Linked DNA regions of Astyanax mexicanus. The protein of the gene in region 1 interacts with the protein of each later gene in a pairwise test. Links are inferred from orthologs where the notes say so. Each region holds a gene or a part of one and is shown on either strand. Other genes may lie near its edges.

Region 1 (7,071 bases):
ACATCCTACAGTCGAGACTTTTTATTTATATACATATCTGACAGCAATGAAGAATGATGGATTACTGTTGTCCAGCGTGGGACTGCTCGTGCATTCATTAGATCCACTGTGAGTGGAGGGGAGCACGCGCCACATAGCTTAGCACTGCAATTTATGAGCTGCAAAGTCCTGCCAGATCCCTTGTTTTATACTCGTAATCTTGTTTTATGGGGATTGTGCAGAGTGCACCACGGTGACTTAGCCAACAACACTACGGCCACCTCCAGAGATAGGCCTGATTCTTGCGTGATTTTTATCTCTCGGCTACACTGCTGTTTTTCCTTTTCATATGTTCACTCTGTTCTATGTGCTCCAGGTTCACCCGAGCTTCCTACCGAGGTTGGTTTGGCGAGCGGTGGAGGAGAAGCAGGGGGAGGAGGAGGCTCTCGCCGGCTGAGGACTGCATACACAAACACGCAGCTTCTGGAGCTGGAGAAGGAGTTTCACTTCAACAAGTACTTGTGCCGGCCGCGCCGCGTGGAGATAGCAGCTTTACTGGACCTGACCGAGCGTCAAGTCAAGGTGTGGTTTCAGAACCGTCGTATGAAACACAAGCGGCAGACCCAGACCAAGGACGGTCAGGAAAAGCTGAGGAACACAGCGGCTGAGGAGGACAGTGGTGCGCAGAGCGATGAAGAGACCTCTGTGTTCGAGCCTAGCCTCGGTCAGGAGTCGAGGGCCCTCCCGGATAAAGATCTGCGTTCCTTTCAACCGGAGTCATCTTCAGTTTCTCAGCAGCTTCACAACTTCTCCATGTCGCCCCTCGGTCTTAACGACCTGGACACGTCTCCAGCCCACAAACACGTCTCCAGCCCCTCACCCACGCTATCGGGCCACAGACCGCCCTCCTCCAGCCCGGACAACTGCAGCTCCCCGCTGACTCTGGACGTGTCTCTGAAGGACTTCCACGGTTTCTCTGCGGATTCGTGCTTACATCTGTCCGACGCCGCTTCGCCGACACTGTCCGAGTGTCTGAGCACCCCAGAGCATCTATCCACGGATAACTTCTGCTTTTTCACGGACGCTTTAAGTACAATCGATCTGCAGCATCTGAACTATTGAGAACTGCGACACTGGAATGATGTGCTCTTCATCTAAAGGATATGTTGTTATCGCTTATTTGTCAGATGGGCACATCTTCCTGATAGGTTAACATTAAATGGTTAAAGGTAAGATTCTCTGTGCATAGAATGCTGTGTATCATAGACTGTATGCAGTAACGCACAAACGAACCAATGAATAGGTTTTAGCTAAAGATGGATTCGACTGTTTTTATTTTTGTAACAGATATTTTTGTTAGAATAAAAATGTGCTTGTTTATAAAAATGTGTCATAGTTACAATTTGGTAAAAAAAATGTAATACAGCTTTTTTAAATGCAAACTGCACAGATACACCACATTGTATTACACATCTTTGTCCATTAAAATAATAGCATTGCTAAAGTAGTAACAGTATTATGAAAATGCACTTCTCTTTCAAAATATTAATAAAGCCAGTGGTGGAAAAATTGAGAAAACACATTAAGATATTATTTACTGAACTGAACAAAAAAAAAAACCTGTAAACGGGCTAGATTGTTAGATTAATTGGTGATTTAAAAGTTGCAGCCTTGCTGGTCTACTGCTAAACAAACAAAACAGTTTGCAGACTTGAAATAAAATAATATAACTCAAAGAAACTAAATAAATAAAATCGCACGAAACATGTAATAAGAATATAATAAGAAAGGGAGAAATAAAATAGTTACTCTCATACTCTAACTTTAATAGATTTGATAAATATGCTTATAAACACATTAGTTTGGTTCTCTTGTCTGATAAGCACCGATAAGCACAGCCACTCCAAAAGAAGTAAGTACTCATGTTCTCGTGTAGCGCGTGCTAGGAGGTTTACAGTTACACCATCTATCAAATTTACAAACTTTCTTCCTCTATGCTGTAAAACCCCAACATGGCTGATTTTTTTTCTGGACCTGTGCTCTTTGTTTGGGGCTCTGCTCCAGGCTCCGCGTGGGGAAATGCCTGGGATGTTTCGTTCTCTGCCAACTCATAAATCAAAGTCTTTCATACACCCTGACAGCACGAGACAATGGTAGTGACGTCCGCGCAAATAAAAGCCCAGTCGCGTCTCCCTCTCTCTTATTTTGAGATTGTTTGAGACTGTTTTGGGGCGCAGAGAAAACCCTGCAGGGACGATCGGTAATAATTCATTTTTATTGCCGTTTTAACACCAGGCGTAAGGCCAGTGTACATAACCTCCGTAAGAGGCGTTTTTATAGCGCATGGACAAGTCATTCATTTCAACTCTGGAAGTGGAAGTGGGTTTTCTGGCCTTTACGGTGTTGTGTCATGACATTAGAAACATTAATGCTATTTAAGTACATTATACAACTATGGGTCAAGTTGTTGGGACATGTCTGTGTCCAATTATTGTTATACTATTATATTATTATGGCTAATTGTATGGCTAATTTTATTATCAATTAGTAGTAACATTTTATTATTAATTAGTCGTAGTAGTTGGGCAATGATTATTATTATTATTATTATTATTATTATTATTATTATTATTATATTTATTATTATTATTATTATTATTATTATTGTGCATTTTTGAGACCACTATGCTGATACTACTACCACCAAAAAATACAAATAAATGAATAATAATAATATTGAAACTGAGAAAAGAAAATTCTATTCTATGTGTTTAATTTTACATATTAGACATATCGTTTTTTTGTCTTAGCCAAGATATATATAAACGCTTAAACATATACAGTAAGTTATATAAATAATCCCACCGGAGCGTCGAAGGCCTATTAATTTTTTACACCAATATTTATAATATATGTGAATACAGGCATATATCCCTGTGTGAGTGTGAAATATTCATTCACCAAATCCTCTCTAACAAATCATGGGAAGAGTTTTTTTTCCCCGATCGTACACATACACATGTTCATGTCACTTCCAGCTTTCTTCAGCCTTTTCACAAAGAAGAACAAGCGTTTCTGCGTGGGAGAAATCTCTCTCTCTTTCTCCCTCTCTTTCTTCCTCTCTCTCTCCCTCTGGGTGGGGGTGGGAGGGGGCAGGATGTGAGAAGTTAGAGGAGGAGATGAGAAATCCTGCTCAACACTCAGCGCCATTTTGAATGAAGAAAAAAATACACGAAAAACAAAACAGGCGCTATTTCTCCTCCAGCCAGAGGGGGCGCTGACCCTCACTCCTTACACACTTTCTCACTTTCACTGCTTATCTGTGTTTTGTGTTTTGGCCATCCAAGAAACATTACAATAAACTAATAAACATATTAAGCAGGTATTTAACTCTTAATATTTGTGTGTGAATTATTTTAAATCCAACTACAAGGAAAACTTAAGGACTAGACAAGGCCATTCATTTCTTGGAAACACTTAAGGTCAAATTAGGATTAATATTGTTCTCCACCAGGGAACTGCAGTGCCTATTAATAACGCTGGAACTCTGGGGTTCATTAAATTAACTTTCACCCTTATCAAATTATCATAGGCAGGTAATGAAAATGCCACACTGCAGGCTGGCATAAACAAATAATAATTAGTTTATCATTTTCATGCTGTGCAGTATTAAAAATAAAGCTGCTACAATAGGCTGTTTGAGCTATGCCATAGAATAATCACATTTGTTTCCCTAAAGAACCCTTCAGTGGAGTGGAGGAATCTTTAGATTTTGTTAATATACAAGGGAGGATATTTAAATTATTGTGAATCTTTTATGTAAATGTCCTTGCAACTTTGAAAAAAAGTTGCTTTCACAGATTCTGTCATACAGTTAGTTTGACTCACCTCTATGTCTGTCATAGAGGAACTTTTTAATGTCTGCAAAAAAATATTTTAGAAAAATATTCTTCATGTTTCTATTACAAACAATGTTATCACTTTTTTAAAGTACCATTTTTAGCGCTTTCAAAATTAAAAGTGTTCATTGTTAGAACAGAATGTGGAAAGTAGCTAATGTGTTTATAGAAGCTAATCAGCAAATAAACACTTAAATTCTATGTGAAAAATCTTTGTAATGTTAAAATAACCTGCACATAAAGGTGATAGATCAATTCTTACAGTTCTTACCTAATATAATATTTTGTTATTTGTATTATTTATTGTTGTTTGTTTTAAAGGTTTAAAGAGCCTTGGCTGAAAGTAAAGCTTTTTTGCCAATCTTTTCAATGCTCTTCACACACACTCTACTCTTTTTTTTCAAGCAATGGTTATATATTTAAGACATGTTCTGCAGATCTACAGAGTGAATCAAATGTTTAGCATTTATCACGGATACAGCCATGCACTAATTAGAGAAGCTAAACTCTGGTCCGGTCTTGCATACGGCTTGCCGGCTCAAACACTATTGATTTTAGTCACTTGTCAGGTTAGGAAGGTGTGTTTAATTCCGGGAATGAACAAACCTTGCTTACATCCAGGGACCAGTAAAAACGCGTTTGTAAATATAGAAGTCAAACGATTTACGTTTTACCGCTATTTGTGTGGTCCTAGACTTTTGATTTCTGACCTTGCAAAATCACGTATTCCATTGGTCTCGAACTTGTCCTACCTGATGGTTCAAGTGTCGGATACTTCACACACGTTTCTCTCACGCCCATCGCTCCTCAGCATCCGTGCACCTTAGTTCCTCCACTCCTGCGCTCTGCTGTTCCATCAATTGTTCCTACGAGTAGGACCCAATCGGTGCGCTGACGTCATTGATCGACAAGAGGTCGGAATTTACATAAGCTTACTCTTTAACGACTATCTGTCAGCGCGAGGCCACTCAAGCTCAAGACCCAACAAAGCCACTGGTCACTGGCTGACCCGGCTCACGTGACTGTCAGTGTTCATTCATATCAGCCTCGCGCGGTACTCTCCAAACGCGCGCTGATTGAAGGTCTGGTGGTGTCAGACCGCCTAGAGAGTCCGGTCAGGAAGATGCCAGAATGAGCACGTTCCTAGATTACTCCGTGATGAGCGGCGGGGACGGAGGTGGCGGGGGCTCGTGCTCCGTTAGAGCTTTTCACACAGATCACGGAATTACAACTTTCCAGTCGTGCTCGGTCACGGTGAACAACTGCTCTGGAAACGAGCGGTTCTTGTCCGACAGGGCATCACCGGACACCGTATCCAGTCATCCGAATCAGGCTGGGTCCTACCAGTCCTCCGGGACCCTGTCAATCGCTTACGGTGCGCACCCGTCCTACGGGAGCCAAAGTTTTTGCGCCGGTTATAATCCCTACCCCCTGAACCAGGACGCTGATACGACTGGTGGGTTCGCTCAGTGCGGCCCCCTGGTCTACTCTGGAAACATTGTGCAGCACCACCACCACCATCCTCACCATCCTCATCATCCTCATCATCATCGCCATGGCTACAGCGGTAGCAACGCGCACCTACATCACGGGCAACTTCAGTACGCAGCCGCAGCCTACGGTCATGGTCAGGATCAGGCAAATCTGACCTTCGTGGGGGGATGCTCAAACCACCTATCTCCTCTGCATGGCCACCACGATACGTGCTGTTCACCTCTGTCAGACGGCTTGTCCACGGCGCAGACCTTTGACTGGATGAAGGTTAAGAGGAACCCCCCAAAAACAGGTACATAAAAACAGGTCTGGGGGGAAAGGGGTTCATCTTTTTAAAAAAGCTTTTCATTTAAAAGTTTAACTTTAACTTTAAACATTCGTTTTAGGATGGCTTAAGATGAAGTTGTAGAGTTCTTGATCAGGGGTCTTGCTGATTATAAGGCATTTGTATTGTCATTATAATAGAGGGGTTTTGGTTTGCATTATGTGTCTTTAAGCCATTCAATAATTAAAAAATATAAAATGATTTTGCTCAAAAAACTTTATTTTTAAACTACTGTAAAACAGTTTAATCAAGAACCTCATTCCTAACCATCTTGTTAAAAAAAAAAAAAAAAAACTTTGTGAAGCAGCTTTTTAGAGGCACTGAAGTTTTTAAGAGATATTTAGGTCCATTAATTGTTATTGCAAATATAACTCTTTTTTTTGCCTTACAGAGATTTATGTGTCCCTGAACAAAATAAAATATTTTAAAAAACATACCTCTCCAATCAAATGTTTATCTTTATACTGTCATAAAACTGTGTGTCAGATATCCTGCTCTTGAATATTAAATAATTGGTGTAATAATGTTTCTAAAAGTTCTGTGAGGAGCACTAAAGTCTTCAAATATCTAAGTTTTTTTTTTTACCTTTACTTTGAAACTGCTACATTTTTCTAAAATACAATTTGTCACAATAAGTCAGTCTAATTGGCTTTGCCTACATCTTAAATACTTATTTTGAAAGACTACTTTTGCAAATCAACACAACAACTTCTTACTTCTGCTTCATAAAAGACTGAAAACTCAATGCAGTAAATTAAAAATCTCATTTATACTCCAGTAATGTGTAAATTGTGTGTTTAATGACCTTCATTCTGTTTATTTCTCAGGTAAAGTAGGAGAGTACGGTTACGGTGGGCAGCCCAACACCGTTCGCACCAATTTTACCACAAAACAACTAACAGAGCTGGAGAAAGAGTTCCACTTCAACAAGTACTTAACCCGTGCCAGGCGTGTGGAGATAGCTGCCGCTCTCCAGCTGAACGAGACTCAGGTGAAGATTTGGTTTCAGAACCGTCGCATGAAGCAGAAGAAACGCGAAAAAGAGGGTCTGATGCCCAAGACTGTGTCTGAACCAGGAGATGGTCCAGAAAAGGCGGAGGATATGTCCGAAAAGTCTCTTTCTGCACCTTCAACTCCATCTCCTGCCTCCACATCTGCTGACCACTATTCTTCAGGCTAAAGGCCTCAATATTATTTTCTATTGATGGGAAAAAGATGATGATGATGATGTTGACAACCATGACTCTGGCCACAAACTTTGTAGCAGTTAGAGTGCGTCAACATAACTGGACATGCCCACCGGTATGAGCCGCGATAATGCACTATTTTTTTTAACTTTTGACCATTCAGTGTTTTGTGTTGTTGTAAGCTGAG
Region 2 (7,498 bases), on another chromosome or scaffold:
AATTTAAATAATTTAATTAAGATATAAGTGTAATGCCATCTAGTGTTTTTTTTGGTAGCAGCAGTGTGCACTACTAAAACAGCAATGTGCAACATAACAAAATAAGTAATATAAAAAGACAGGAAATGTACAAAATAATAGAACAATTAGAGCTTTAACAAACTGAACTCTATCCTAGTTAAACATGAAATATAAGACTTTTTCGGTCCCTGAGAATGACAAGTATTTTTCTTTAATAAAGATATATTATTAACTTTATCTGAGAGAAAGATGATCCTTAAGGTACCAAAACTATTAACACATTTGAGGCTAGACAATATTTATATTTTCAAGTTTTTCTTTAAGAAGATGAGAATGTTCACATTCTCTGGAGACAGGGCTGCTCTTTGAGCAGTCACAATGTCCGCGGCGTCGGCTACAGTGTGCTGCGCCATTTGTGTAGCTTAGAGGGAGGGATCGTCGATTATCTTTTTGACTTTGAGGCTCGAGACCATGACATAATTTTGATCAATTTCTATGAAATATCGAAATCGTGACACCCCTACTGATTACTGTTCTCTACTGATCACTACCGATGTCGTAGTGAACATACAATGGGTATACATCACTGCAAATGTAAATCTGGCTTGTGTTTCTGATAGGATCCCGGTTTGCATCCTCACGAGTTGGATTAGTGCCAGAAATAATGCGTGAGTATTATCTCCTCTGAAGTTGATTACATTGTGACATCTTACATACATTAGCTGCAATAGTAAATATCTCAGATCAGCCATATTAGTTATTATACAGCTCTGGAAATAAATAAGAGACCACCTAAAAATGTTGAGTTTCTTTAATTGTACCAACTTGAAAACCTCTGGAATATAATCAAGAAGTAGATGGATGATCACAACTGCTTGAGATTTTGCACCAGGAATGACAGGAGTGAAGTTTTTTAATTGTTTAACACCACTACTTTTTAGTTCTTAGGTGTATAAACTGTACAATAATTTTATGCTGTGTGTGTGTGTGTGTGTGTGTGTGTGTCAGTTTTTGGTGCAGTGAGCTACATTGTGGGACAGTACTCCTACTTGAATGCCTGTAAGGAGAAGTTTATGAATTTGAGGGATTCACCGATTGGAAAATCTTTAAGGCAGCCGCATACGTGAGTACACACACACACACACACACACACACACACACACACAGCATAACATTATTGTACAGTTTATGCATCTTAGAAGAACTCAAAAAAGTAGTGGTGTCAATTGATTAAAAAAACTTCAGATTAATCACAACACTATTCTGTTATTAACTGAGATTAATCACTCTTGTTCTTTTAAAGACGCGAGTTTTTAGCGTTTTTATAGCCAATAAAAAAAATAGTGTTTACTTGTACAGTTCTATTAAAAAATAAGAGACTGCTTAAAATGTATGTTTTTTTATTTTTTTTATTTTACATAATTGAAAATCTCTGGAATATAATCAAAGGAAGATAGATTTTCACAAGCCAACAAACCAAGCTGAACGAACTGCTTGAATTTTTGCACCAGGAGTGCAGGTATAAAGTTATTCAAAAGCAGTGTGTAAGACTGGTGGAGAAGGAGAACATGATGCCAAGATGCATGATTAAAAACTGTCATTAAAAACCAACCAGGGTTATTCCACCAAATATTGATTTCTCATTTTCTGTAAATAAATGCTCTAAATGACAAGATTTGGAATTTGGAAGAAATGTTGTCCGTAGTTTATAGAATAAAACAATAATGTTCATTTTACTCAAACATAAACCTATAAATACCAAAACACAGATAAATGATGCGAAAATAAGACGAGCGCTCATGCTAAAACAACAAAATTGAGCGAGAGAGAGAAATGTTTCTAAATTACGCACCCTCGTTACAATTCCTAGAAAGTGACTGATTGCGGCGGAAGTTGGGGTCAAACTTAATTAATTAATTTGCATTAAAACAAATTATGCATTACTGCGTGCGTCCAACATGTCTAACAGAGATCCTAGCTCTTCACATGCAGCACTGTTACCACAATATCATCAGCATTCATCATAATGTTTTGGCTCATTAATGTAAAAAAATGTACTAACGTAAATAATGTGTGTGTGTGTGTTCAGCTTTTTACTTAGTCAGTCGGTGCTGAATAAGAATGAGCCCCAGCCTGAGAGTGTGTTCCAGTCCAACACTCGGACAAAAAGCCAGAATACACAATCCTCAGACCGCCCTCCCTCAAAGGGTAATCTCACACACACACACACAAGGCAAATATACTAGGGGTGTCACGATTCTCTAAATCCTCGATTCGATTTTATTTCCGGGTTTTATTTTAGGGTCACGATTCGATTCGATTCTCGATTTTCTTTTTTCTTTTTTTTTTACAGCAGAGAGGCCTATGCCACTTTTAGATTAGTCTATGGTCAGTCATTGGTTTGATTCATCAAATTTACAATATCTTATTTCAAAAAGTTGGGCTTGATATAAGTGATGCAAAGTGATACAAGTGATCTGTAATACACCACATTAGGCACTAATGGTCAAATTTAAATAATTTAATTAAGATATATATGTAATGCCATCTAGTGAAAATCGTGACACCCCATCGTGACACGATTTGCTTTCTAAAATTTGAACATTTTTGCTCATCTGAGACAAAAACACATATTAGCACTGAAGCTATGAGGCTAATTTCCTTAGTACTCAGAACTTATGGGTTCGATTTCTGCTCTTTTTCTCTGCAGTGAAGAAGAACAAGTATGGAGATTCATGGGAGGAGTGAACAGAGATCTACAGTCAGTACAGAGTGTTAATGCTGTTACTGAACGACAAAAGTATCGGGACATGTTCTAATTTCTTGCTTCTGTTTAAATCAAGGCTTTTAAAAAGAGTTCATCCTGATCTTGCTTTTGATAAAGCAACTGTCTCTACTGTCCAGAAATCCCAAGGCTTTCTACTACATTTTGAAGTGTCACTGTTATGTCCTGGATGTATCACCAAGGAATACACAAGCTGTGTGTGCATTTACACATCTATATTAGCAATGGGTGCAACTTTTAAGTAGCTGAAGGAATTCATTGGAAGGGGGTTGGATTTTGAGTGTGTGTGTGTAGCCTTTTTTGGATCTGTGTTTCTGAGTTCAAAATAAAAGTTGGTTAAATGCTTCATGTGTTTCATTTTTTGGTTATTTTTTAATCATTAAATATGAGTTAACTGTGATTTATCACACTTTTTTTTTTTATCACAAAGCTGCGTTCAATTTCACTACTAACCACAACCAGACCTGATTATTATCAGACCTGTAGAATCAAGAAATCACTTAAATAGAACCTGTCTGACAACATGAAGCAGATAAAATATTTCAAAGTCATTGATCATCTATCAGTCTGAAAAAAGGTTACAAAGTCATTTCTAAAGCTTTGGGATTTCAGCATATCACAGTGAGAGCTATTATTCACAAATAGAAAAAAATGGTGAAATTTCCCAGGAGTGACTGGCCTACTGACATTATTCCAAAAGGGCATGGACAACTCATCCAGGAGGTCACAAAAGAACCCAGAACAATATTTAAAGTACTGCAGCTCTCACTTGCCTTAGTTAAGGTCAGTGTTAATGATTCAATAATACGATTGTAGACTAAATTTATAATAATTGCATTGAATTTAACATCTCTTATGTGTAAATCAATAAAACTCACCTAAACTAACATGAATAAATGTTCAGCAGTGGCTTTTCTTGTCCAGCAGGCGCACTAAGAATTTGCCCTATATAACAAAGGTCTCATAATGAACTTTTTTCAGATTTCTTTAATAGGTTGTCATAATGTTTTTTTTTTTTCATTCTAACAATTATTTAAATTTTTAGTCTGCAAGGCTAAGCACGTTTCATTGATTACAGCATTTTATCTTTACTGTTAGAACAGTCGGACTGTGTTTTGGTGCTTCAGCTGATAATTATTATTATTATATATATAATATATATATATATATATATATTATATATTATATATAATTATATATTATATATAATAATAATTATTATTATTATTATATTTTTTACACGGTTGTAAAACATATCTCACTCAAGCAAAAAAAATTTATTGAGCTCAAATTGTATAATGCACTCAACATAATTATCATGAAAAACGCGTGAAAAAATAGTAAAAAAAAAAACATTTTAATTAAAAATATTAATTTAAATAAATAAATAAAAGCATATTTTGAGGAAAAACACGTGAAAACAGTAAATATATATTTAAATTATATACATTTATTTATATAAATTTAATATAATAAATAAAATAAATTTAAAAAATTAAACACAGTAAACAAAATAGTACTAAAACACGTGAAAATAATTTTAAAAATAATAATACTAATAAAAAATGAGAACCAACGCATGCGCAGAGCCTCTAAGTAGCACGTTTCGACGGGTAGCGCAACTCGATAGGACACCGGCTCTGACGTCCCACTCCCGGGCGGAAGTCTCGCGATAAGCGGCGGGATCTGAGGCGGATGTTGATGTTGTTGTGGCTGGGCTCGCGGCGGCGGCGGCGGTGATAATAATAAGAGCGATACCGGAGGAGTTTTAGGCTGATTTTAGTTAATAAAGCGGCGGGAGGAGGCGGTGAGCGGGCTCTGGAGCTCCCCCGGCCCCCGATCTCCGCTCCCCCGGGGCCGAGGCGGCGATGATGGAGGACTTTGATGAGATCTACGAGGAGGAGGAAGAAGAAGAGGAGGAAGAGGAGGAGGACGAGCAGCGGGCCGCGGAGGAGCAGCTTCTCAAATACGCCCCGGAGCCGGTCCTGGTCCGGGGATCGGGCCGGGTCACCGTGTAAGACCCCCATTAAACCGATCAAACAGCCCCCCTGAGACCTCCGCGTCCCGGCCGATCTGCCCTACTGACCCAGCAGGCCGAGCGGTGGAGGATCTGACCAGCCTAGTGCAGCTCCAGTGCACTAAAATGAGTTTTAAACTGATTTAATAAAGCTTTAGAAACTTAACCCAGTCCATTCACCACCTCTCTGACCCAATGAACCTATTGAGAATAGCTGGAAGATCAGAGTGAGGGTTCTAAAGTAGGAAGCCACTTGGTAAAGGCGTTCCAGAGCTTAGTTTTATCTTCTAAAATTGATTTTAAAGCTGTTCTTGTTGTTTTATGGCTTTCGAAACAGAATCCAGTCCACTGACTATTTGAAGATCACAGTGATTGTTCTGAAGTAGGAATCCAGTTGATGTAGAATCTCCTAACCTTGTTTTTTTCTTCTAGGATTGATTTTAAAGCTGTTCTGGTCGTTTTATGGTTACATTTAGTGGAGGATTGCTTGAATTATTTTTTTTCTTTTAAAATTGATTTTAAAGCTGTTCGATTTCTTTTACGGCTGTTGGAACTTAATCCATGACTAATTGAACCGATGAATGGTAGGAAGATCACAGTTTTATCCTCTAGAATTTATTTTAAAGCTGTTCTTGATGTTTTATGGCTCTCAAAATGTAATCCAGTCCCCTGACCGCCTTAGTGACTAACTAAACCATTTAAAAATGGCAGGAAGAACACAACAATCTTTAAATCAAATCAAATGGACAAGTTTCTGGAAACTTGTATCCCAAAAAAATGTCACTGGAGTTTCTAGAATTGATTTTAAAGCTGTTTTTGTCGTTCTATGGCAGTCAAAATGTAACCGAGTCCTCTGATTGCCTCACAGACTAATTGAACCCACTGAGAACGGCAGGTAGATCACAGTGAAGGTTCTGAAGTAGCTAGCCAGTGGATGGAGCATCTCCCAAGTTTGTTTTTTTCTTCTAGAATTGATTTTAAAGCTCTTCTGTTCACTGTATGGCTGTTGAAACATAATCTGGTCTTCTGGCTACTTTATTGACCAATTGAACCCATTGAGAATGACAGGAGCTTAGTAGTAAGTAGCAAGCCAGTTGGTGGAGAGGAAACCAATGGCCAATACCCTAAACTTACATCATTGGCCTAACTTACTGTCTTGATCTAGGTCACTTTCATTATTGCAGGTAAAGGTGGTGGGGTGAATCTAAAGCTGAGGTTTTAAGACTCCAACACTGTGATAAAAAAACTATTAAGTGTATGAGAACAATAGAAACCCAGGCAAAAATTAATACTGAGTTTTGTTTTTAATCACCCTCAGGTTTGGACTCAGCAATAAATTTGAGTCAGAATTTCCTTCAGCACTTACGGGAAAGGTGAGTGTATCTTCGGTCACGTTTACTCCTGTTAGTCACTGCTCTTCTTGAAGTGATTGTTCAACAAATCAATTAGGCACAGCTTCTGTACCTACAAATGCAGCTACCAAACAATGAGTTTTGAGGCTAATGCAGCTAACAAGCAATGGAAGCTTTTACCTCGACCGAAACATGCATTGTGTGTACAGTGTTTAACCATCACTGTAACTTAAAAAAATACTTTTTAAAGCACATTCGAAATGTATTAAAATTAAATAAAATCTATATTCATAGTTTGTAGCTTTTTGGCTCAATAATGCACAAAATGTGTGATTTATTTGGCCTGTTCTGGCTACTGTGCCTGCTCTGATCTCCACATCATAGGGCGTGTTTGCTTACTACTCCACTCACAGCGTAAAAATCATAGTTGTGGAACTGTAGATAGATGCCATGTTGAGCATTGTCAACTAGGGGTGTGCCATATTGAATAATACACAGTAGTATTGCGGAAAAATGACACAATAAAAACACTACTTTTAATTGTTTGGTTGCAGTTTAAATACATGCACTAAATATGATGCACTTTAGTTTTTTGTAGGTTTTGTGTTGTTACATTACTTTTTTCATTTATTCACCTTTGTTTTGTTACAGTAATATTATTTTCTACATAATAAGAGTCTTGGTAAGTTTAGGAAATGGATGTTTAGATGTTTATATATTTTTTTTATAGTTATTTATACTCAATAAAACTTTTTCTCTTTATTCTTGAAATTAGATTTTTTTTTTTTTTAAACAAAGTATATCGATGTTGCAAAAGTACCCTGAAATTTTGCGATATTGAATTCGGGTCATATTGCCCACCCCTAGTGTGAACTCCTATTGCTTGTTTGCTACATTAGCCTTGTAGCTTTGGTGTAAAACTACAGAAACGCACTTCTGGCACCAAATTTGTCGATATTTTAATAGTAATTTTAACAGTTTTACAAACTGCTTTAAAATACAAAAAAAAAAAAAAACTGTTTCTGATTGGTTGAGCTCTGTATTTATACGCAGGTAGCACCTGAGGAGTTCAAAGCCAGCATAAACCGAGTGAACGGCTGCCTGCGGAAGACGTTGCCGGTGAACGTGCGGTGGTTGCTGTGCGGCTGTCTATGCTGCTGCTGTACCCTGGGCTTCAGCCTGTGGCCGGTTATCTGCCTCAGCAAACGGGTGAGTGACCACCAGTGAAAGGTAGAAGGTAGCTTTCATTTTCCAGCAGGACTTGGCGCAGTGCCCACACTGCCAAAAGTACCAATTGGTCTTATATATTATTCTAATATCATC
Region 3 (6,972 bases), on another chromosome or scaffold:
TCTGTGGTGTAAAAATAGTTACCTGTAATTACTGGAAATATTTTAGCACACAGGTGGGTGTGTAATCTTTAAAAAAAACTGAAGGCTGTGCTAATTTGTGGTCGGGGCATGGTGCCATGCCACTGCATCTGCGTTCTGATCAGTGGAATAAGACGGCGTGTTCCGCTGAGCTGCAGGCCTGCAGGTCTCTGTGATTAGTCATGTGGCTGACATATTTACCCACAGCAAACTATACAGCATTATTGGTCAAATTATGAAAAGCATTCATGAAATATTTCAGGGTGATTACGCTCATCCAGGACTCTTATTCTGCCTGGAGTTTTGCTTGAGAGCGTAAACAGGTAACAGGTGGAATCTTTATGGGTGTCCAGTGTAGATAAAGGATCGTTCTTCAGTGTCCAAATAAAACCAGAGTCCAAAAATGTTCCTTAAAACTGATCCCAGAGTGGGTTAACATTTTTCAGGGATTAAAAAGCCATATGTTTTGACATTATTGGGACCAAATGTTCTTAAATATGATTGTAGAGACTAAATATCCCTAGATTTTGACATTGTAAGGACTGAATATTTCTAAACTTGACCTTGTAGGGGAATAAATATTCATAAATTTTGATCAGGATTGATGACAATTCCTACATTTTGAAATTTTGGAGACTAACTATCCCTAACTTTAATACAGGCATAATTTGACATTTTGGGGACTAATATTCGAACTTTCTTTTTTACTGTGGTACCGAATATACCTACATTTTAATGTTGTGTGGACTGAATATACCTAAATCTGACTTTGTGGTGATTTAATATTCCTGTATGACATTGTAGGTACTAAAAATCCCTGATTTCAACATTGTGGGGACTGAATATACCTAAACTGAATATTATGAGGACTGGGTATTCTTACATTTCGACACTGTGGGGACTGAATGTGTCTAAACTTAACATTGTGGGGACTGAATATCCTCAGATTTTACAATGTGGGGATCAGATATTTCTACATTCAGCACTGTGGGGGCTAATATTCCATTCCTATAAAGTTGACATTATATGTAATGTATTTAATATGATTATATAAATAAGGATTGCTGCCAACATCTTTTAAAAACACATCATAAAAGATTTTGAACAAATTATAAATATTGATAAATGTTTTGTTCTGTTTTGATTTGTAATTTTTTCTGTATTTTGAGTATTTACTCTTACTGTAAGTATTATTATGTATAAAGATCGTATAATATCTAAGATCCACGAATGATAAATAAATACTCTCTCTCTCTCTGTCTCTCTCTGTCTCTCTCTCTGTCTCTCTCTCTGTTTATCAGATAACTGCAGTGTGTCGTGAAGCTGCACTCTTCGCCCTTCAGGAGGACATTAAAGCCGAGCACATCACCGACCGGCACTTTGACTCCGCCCTGTCTGCTATTAAACCACGAGTCCCAGAATCCCTCATTCAGACCTACATCTCCTACCAGCAGCAGCATCACGGCACCCGGCCCTTCTGCTGACGGGGGGGCCGAGGGGGCCAGCGCCCCCCAGTATAAAGACTCTTCTACCCCCTGTAGGATCTGAACTGATTAACTGATAATAAATGGAGCTTCTTTATTGTCTGTGTTGGTCTGTACCAGCGTCCCACGTCAGCAGATTAAATAAACACCCCCCCCCCCCCCCCTCCTCCTCCCGTCCTGTGCTGTTGTTAAATTGTTTACTCGGAGGAAATGGATCTTGGACCTGCAGAACTCATCCGGCCTCCGATGAATTACGGGCTCCATAAAAAGTTTTATTTGATCACAAATTGGGAGTTTTATAGCCGTGCACTTTTCAGCTTTATTAATTTATTGCCGGCTCTGATCCTGAGAGACACACAAAGCAGAACTTCTCCTCAGAGCATAAATATACAGCTGATTAAAAACAAACACTGTAAAACTAAAACTGAAAAAAGAGCAAAAAAAAAGCTTAAAATAAAAGTATCAGCTAGTGCAATTAGCATAGCATGTGCTGTAATGACAGATTAAACATACAGATATATGTATAATGTATATATATATTTGTCTATATACAGTATAGACAGGACCACCTGGATATATCCAATTTAAGAGAATAGGTAAGAGACTAGTAAGTGAAAGACTATTGGTGTATATAACAACAGGGGTATATGTAGTAGAGGTTTATATAACAGTAGGATTATATATAAAAGTAGAGTTTTATATGACAATAGTTGTATATATAAGAGTATTGGTGTATATAACAATAGAGGTGTATATAACACTAGGGGTATATAAGAATATTGGTGTATATATAACAGTAGGGGTGTATATATAAAAGTAGAAGAGTATATAACAGTAGGTGCATATATATATATATCAGTAGATGTATATATGAGTACTGCTATTTATATAATAGGAGTATATAACAGTAGGTGTATGTCTAAAAGTAGACGTTTATATAAAAGTATATAACAGTAGAGGTGTATATATATAAGTATTTGGTGTATATACAGTAGGGAAATATATAACAGTAGGTGAGTATATACCAGTAGAGGTGTATATACAGTAGGTGTATATATATAAAGGTAGAGGTGTATATCTATATATAACTGCAGGCCTGTACTGGTGGCCCCTCCCCCTCCTGACTCTGTGCTGAACTTCCCCTTTTTCAGCAGGAGCCGGATGTGGCGCATCCGCGCGGTCAGATTGTGGGGCACGGGGGCTCCTCGCGCTTCTTAAGGTGGAGCCGCGCGTGCATGTTTACAATGGGTTTAACCCCCCCTTAACACACATACACACACACACAGCTCACAGCTCGCCTGCAGGATTAACCCCGCGTCCTGATTAGAAACTATCAGAAGAAGTATTGATCAGTGCTGATCAGACAGACTGTATAATTGATTAGTCTAGATAATAGAGATCAGTATTGATCAGTAACGATAGTTCAGTAGTGTCTATAAACTGAATGTAGACGCTGATATTAATCCGTATTGATCAGTGGTGCAGAAGTACACTAGTTATTACTGACATAAACTTATCAGTAGTAGTAATAGAGATCAGTATTGATCAGTAGTAAATATGCATGCTAAAGTGAATGAATAGTGATAAAAAAGATTAGTATTAATCTGAATGGATTCGTTATGATAATATCAGTTATGATCTACAGTTAGTGTTATCAGTACTGATTGTTAGAATTGCCTGTATTTAATAAAAGACACTGGCTATAATTAGTGTTAAAATTCTGACATTTAATCAGCATTCATTAGTTTAAACTAGTTTAAATAGTGGTTGGAGTTCTTCTACACTCACATTAATGCTTTTGGGTAAAAGGTGATTCTCTTAAATACTAAAAATAATGATAATAATAGTAATTAAGTAGGTAAGTATTATATTTATAAGACATTACTATTATTTAATTGTCTAATTCTGCACTGCAGTAACACAGTACTATAATCTATAAGAAACAAGATGTATATTTAATTAAAAAGTGCAGTTAATTATAAAAAGTACATATAAAACCATAGAGTAAAATCAATGTTGAATCAATTTGCACAAATACATCAGTTCTGATGGCAGAGATCAGCATTATGGATGTAAAAATTAACGTTTATTTCAATTTAGTTTAGTTTATTTCGGTTTAACAAAGTTACACACTTATATGCAAAGTGACAATAATAACAGTAATGATATAAAAATAAAAATATTAAGTGCACACCTTGTGAAGCTTTTGCATACATTAATTCAACATAGTTTCCTATGTAGGGCTGATTAATACTGATCAGTATTGATGAACAGTTTGTTAATCAGTGGTTTGATCAGTGATCTGCAGGGTGTAAAAGATCAGCCGCTCCGCTGCACGTTATTAACGCCGGTCCACCTTAAACCCCGCCCCGCCTCGCCCCGCCCGCAGCCCGTGGCCAATCGGCGCGGAGCGGATGCGCCGTGTCCGGTTTCAGAGCGCGAGGCGGAGCTGCGCTCCCATTCATTACCGCGGAGCGGAGAGAGCGCGAGCGATCTTTCACGCGCGCAGGAGAAGAGAAAACAGCGAAAACGCGAAAACACCAAAACACGAAGCGTAGCTACGAAAAAAAAGTTACCGTGCGAAACGGACGGACTACAACCCGCAGTACCCGGATTTACGCGTGACGTTCAGCTGCGAGGCTCATACGGAGCGCGAGAGGACATACGAGGGATTTCTGTTGTATTTTTTTTGGTTTTATTAATTCATTTTTACATTTTTTTTATTTTTTAACGTCTGCGCGCTCGTGCTTGGACTAAAACTGGGATTTCCTTGCGGCTGTGCAGCGCGTGCTAAAGGACACTATCACTGCAATTATTATTGTTGTTGTTATTTTTATTAATATTTATTTTAACGATAATATTTGCGAATATATCTATATATACATATTTTTGAACGCTACTATCATCAGTTTTCCTGGATTTAACGTCATTTCCCTGGATCACACCGAAAAGACTGGACTTGGAGTACCGCGAGCCCCTGTTTTTGTATATGGATGTATAGTGTCCAGACACACAGCGCGCGCGCCGTGAGATTTCCTGCGTGATTCTGGGAGACGCACGCGAGCCGCACTGGCTGATGGCGTCAGAGCTGCGGAGGAGCGCGTGTAGGTGCGTAGCTGCTGCTCGTGCTTCACTATTTTAACTACTAACTAAGTAACTAGCTAACTAACACGTCCCTTGTAGGGTCTTTTTTAGACCGTGCGTGCGCGTGCATGCACGCGCGTGCCCTGTTTACGCATTTCTAGGGAGGAAAGAGAGAAGGGGAAGGGGGGGTTTGTTACTGGGTTGCTTCAGTTGCTGTAGTTGCACCGAAAAAATAATAAAAGGCGCAACGCAACAACGTCTGTGCGCAAACTGAATCTGAATCTCAGCTCACAGACGCTCGTGCGTGCGTAGCCTCGAGCTTGCAATGCACAATGCATGTGCACTCGAATACACACTATACTATACTCCCTCCCGTCGCTGCTTATAACGCAGAACTGTCCGAAAACAAGGGAAAAATGTTTTTAGCAATTCGTTATTCGTTAAAAGTAGTGTGCACTAGAAAGAGTAACGTTAGTGTGTATTCTGTGTAGTGCACATGCATGCACGCGATCTCGAGGGCTCGAGGCTAGGTTGACTAGAGCCTACAGAGTTCTGTTACCCCCCCTCTACTACCCCTCCTCGCGCGGTAACTACCAAATACCCACCCCTCCCCCCACAGGGCTTGTTTTCATTCATAAGTTACCCCCCCTCCTCCCCTCGCTTCCTCTTGGACTCGTCCTCGACCTGCAGTGGCGGGGGGGGGGGGGGGGGGGTGCGTAAGTTAAGTTTTAAGTTTTGCGTAAGTTAAGTTGCATTGTGTGTGTTTTTTTCTTTCATTTGCGCTTTTTAAAAGGTGCAAAAATTGTGCGAAGTGTTAATTCTGGATATGGAGAGAAGTGTTTTGGCTTGTTTAAGCATGTTTTTTTAGTTTAGTGCTTTGAAGTTTTGCTTTAACTAAATATCTATTGGCAAAAACGTGATAAATAATAGTCTTTTGTTGTAAAATAGAGTTACTAATGTGTTATTAATGTGCATGAACAGCCTGCTGCTGAAGATTGTATATATTGGTATATATTGCGCTTCCCAACATAGCTGACAATGTGTAAATTACTTTTATTATCAATGTAATATATTTAGGGAAAAGCCATAGTCTGAGCAAAAAAGTTAGTCAAAGTCAGCAAGACAATAATATAAGAGGATTTTATTTATTTTAGAGTTTAGTCCAGTTTGTCCCATGGATTAACCCAGTTTGCTTTAGTTTGCTTCTAATCAGATTTGCAGAAGTGTCTATTAATGTACAAAATATTCTCAGTTTATCAAAAAAATGTTTATCAAAGTAGGTGGATTTATCCCATGTTGATCTTTAAATCTCCAAACAGCAACGGTTTTTACAGCCAGAAAAAGTTTCTTATAATTCGATTTGTTTTCATTGATGTAAAAATCAGTGGCAGATTTACATAGCCTAAATAAAATGCAGAATGTCAAATATGGAGATACGGGGGTTTTGCATGACAGTAGAGACACAAAGGTATAGAAGGTATAGAAGAGGTTAAGCTGGTGAATAGGTGCGAGTCGGGAATCGAGAAGTGTGAACGACTGTAGGAAACCATCCATTTGATTCACACCTGAAGAGTCTAACACCTAATGGCTCAGAGGCTTAATCTTAGTCTCTCAGACGGTCACAGTCTTTCATAGACTTTGATCAATCTAGAGCTGTGAAATTCTGCTGTTAACTTACATCTTATTGTTCTGTAATTTAATGTAACATTAAATCAATTAATTCTTTAAGGTCATAAACCAGTGTTGATTTTCTTAAACTGTATAGACTTTTCAGCTTTTCTGCTTTTTTTTATAAACTTTGGAACTTTGGAGCTTTTGTACTCATCTCTCTCCCTTTTTCTTTCTTTCTCTCCCTCTCTTTTCCCGACAGGTCGTCCGATGAGACTAGAGTCCGTGCTTGCGCAGGGAGTCGCTGATCAGGTCAGATGGATCGTCGCGGTCACCGCGGAGTCGCCGGATCAGTGGCGGTGATCCGGGAGCCGCCGGCGCCCGGGGAACGTCTGGACCTGGACCTTCCAGCCGGGGCCATCCTCTCCTTGGAGCAGATCCGAGCCATCCGCTCGTCTAACGAGTACACAGAGGGTCCCGCAGTGGCGGCACGCCGGCCTCCCGCCCCGGCACCCCGTGTCAGTGACAAACACGAGAGGACTCACGAGGTTATCCTCGTCAATGTGAACAACAACTACGAGGCGCGGCCCGTAGCCACCAGGCCGCCCACCCTTAGCCGCTCCACCAGCATGGGTAGCGCTGGGAGTTCCGGCAGTAGCGGAAGTGCGTCTTCGGAGCAGGGCTTGCTGGCACAGTCTCCGCAATCGCGCCACCACCAACACCATCATCACCTTCACCATCATCACCACCACCACCATCAACAACAACATCAACAGCA

Evidence for each region. The genes of interacting proteins can lie anywhere in the genome.
Region 2: the proteins of hoxa1a (region 1) and chic2 interact in binary tests that used the Homo sapiens proteins (3 or more experiments, as listed by UniProt). The two-hybrid records come from large-scale screens. The link is inferred for Astyanax mexicanus from reciprocal best matches to the Homo sapiens genes HOXA1 and CHIC2.
Region 3: the proteins of hoxa1a (region 1) and spry1 interact in binary tests that used the Homo sapiens proteins (3 or more experiments, as listed by UniProt). The two-hybrid records come from large-scale screens. The link is inferred for Astyanax mexicanus from reciprocal best matches to the Homo sapiens genes HOXA1 and SPRY1.

Annotation. Positions count from the first base shown.
Region 1 is NC_064410.1:62,517,555-62,524,625, reverse strand, and holds the start of hoxa1a (homeobox protein Hox-A1a), read left to right. Parts: upstream 1-4,044; 5' UTR 4,045-5,009; coding exon 5,010-5,664; intron 5,665-6,524; coding exon 6,525-6,877; 3' UTR 6,878-7,071. Other genes in the region: homeobox protein Hox-A2a, read left to right, coding at 356-1,101. UniProt on the Homo sapiens protein: Sequence-specific transcription factor. Regulates multiple developmental processes including brainstem, inner and outer ear, abducens nerve and cardiovascular development and morphogenesis as well as cognition and behavior.
Region 2 is NC_064432.1:5,911,012-5,918,509, forward strand, and holds the start of chic2 (cysteine-rich hydrophobic domain-containing protein 2), read left to right. Parts: upstream 1-4,479; 5' UTR 4,480-4,674; coding exon 4,675-4,820; intron 4,821-6,141; coding exon 6,142-6,196; intron 6,197-7,228; coding exon 7,229-7,384; intron 7,385-7,498. Other genes in the region: OCIA domain-containing protein 1, read left to right, coding at 642-689, 1,030-1,144, 2,111-2,229, 2,732-2,769.
Region 3 is NC_064426.1:1,107,200-1,114,171, reverse strand, and holds the start of spry1 (protein sprouty homolog 1), read left to right. Parts: upstream 1-3,953; 5' UTR 3,954-4,610; intron 4,611-6,456; 5' UTR 6,457-6,511; coding exon 6,512-6,972. UniProt on the Homo sapiens protein: Inhibits fibroblast growth factor (FGF)-induced retinal lens fiber differentiation, probably by inhibiting FGF-mediated phosphorylation of ERK1/2. Inhibits TGFB-induced epithelial-to-mesenchymal transition in lens epithelial cells.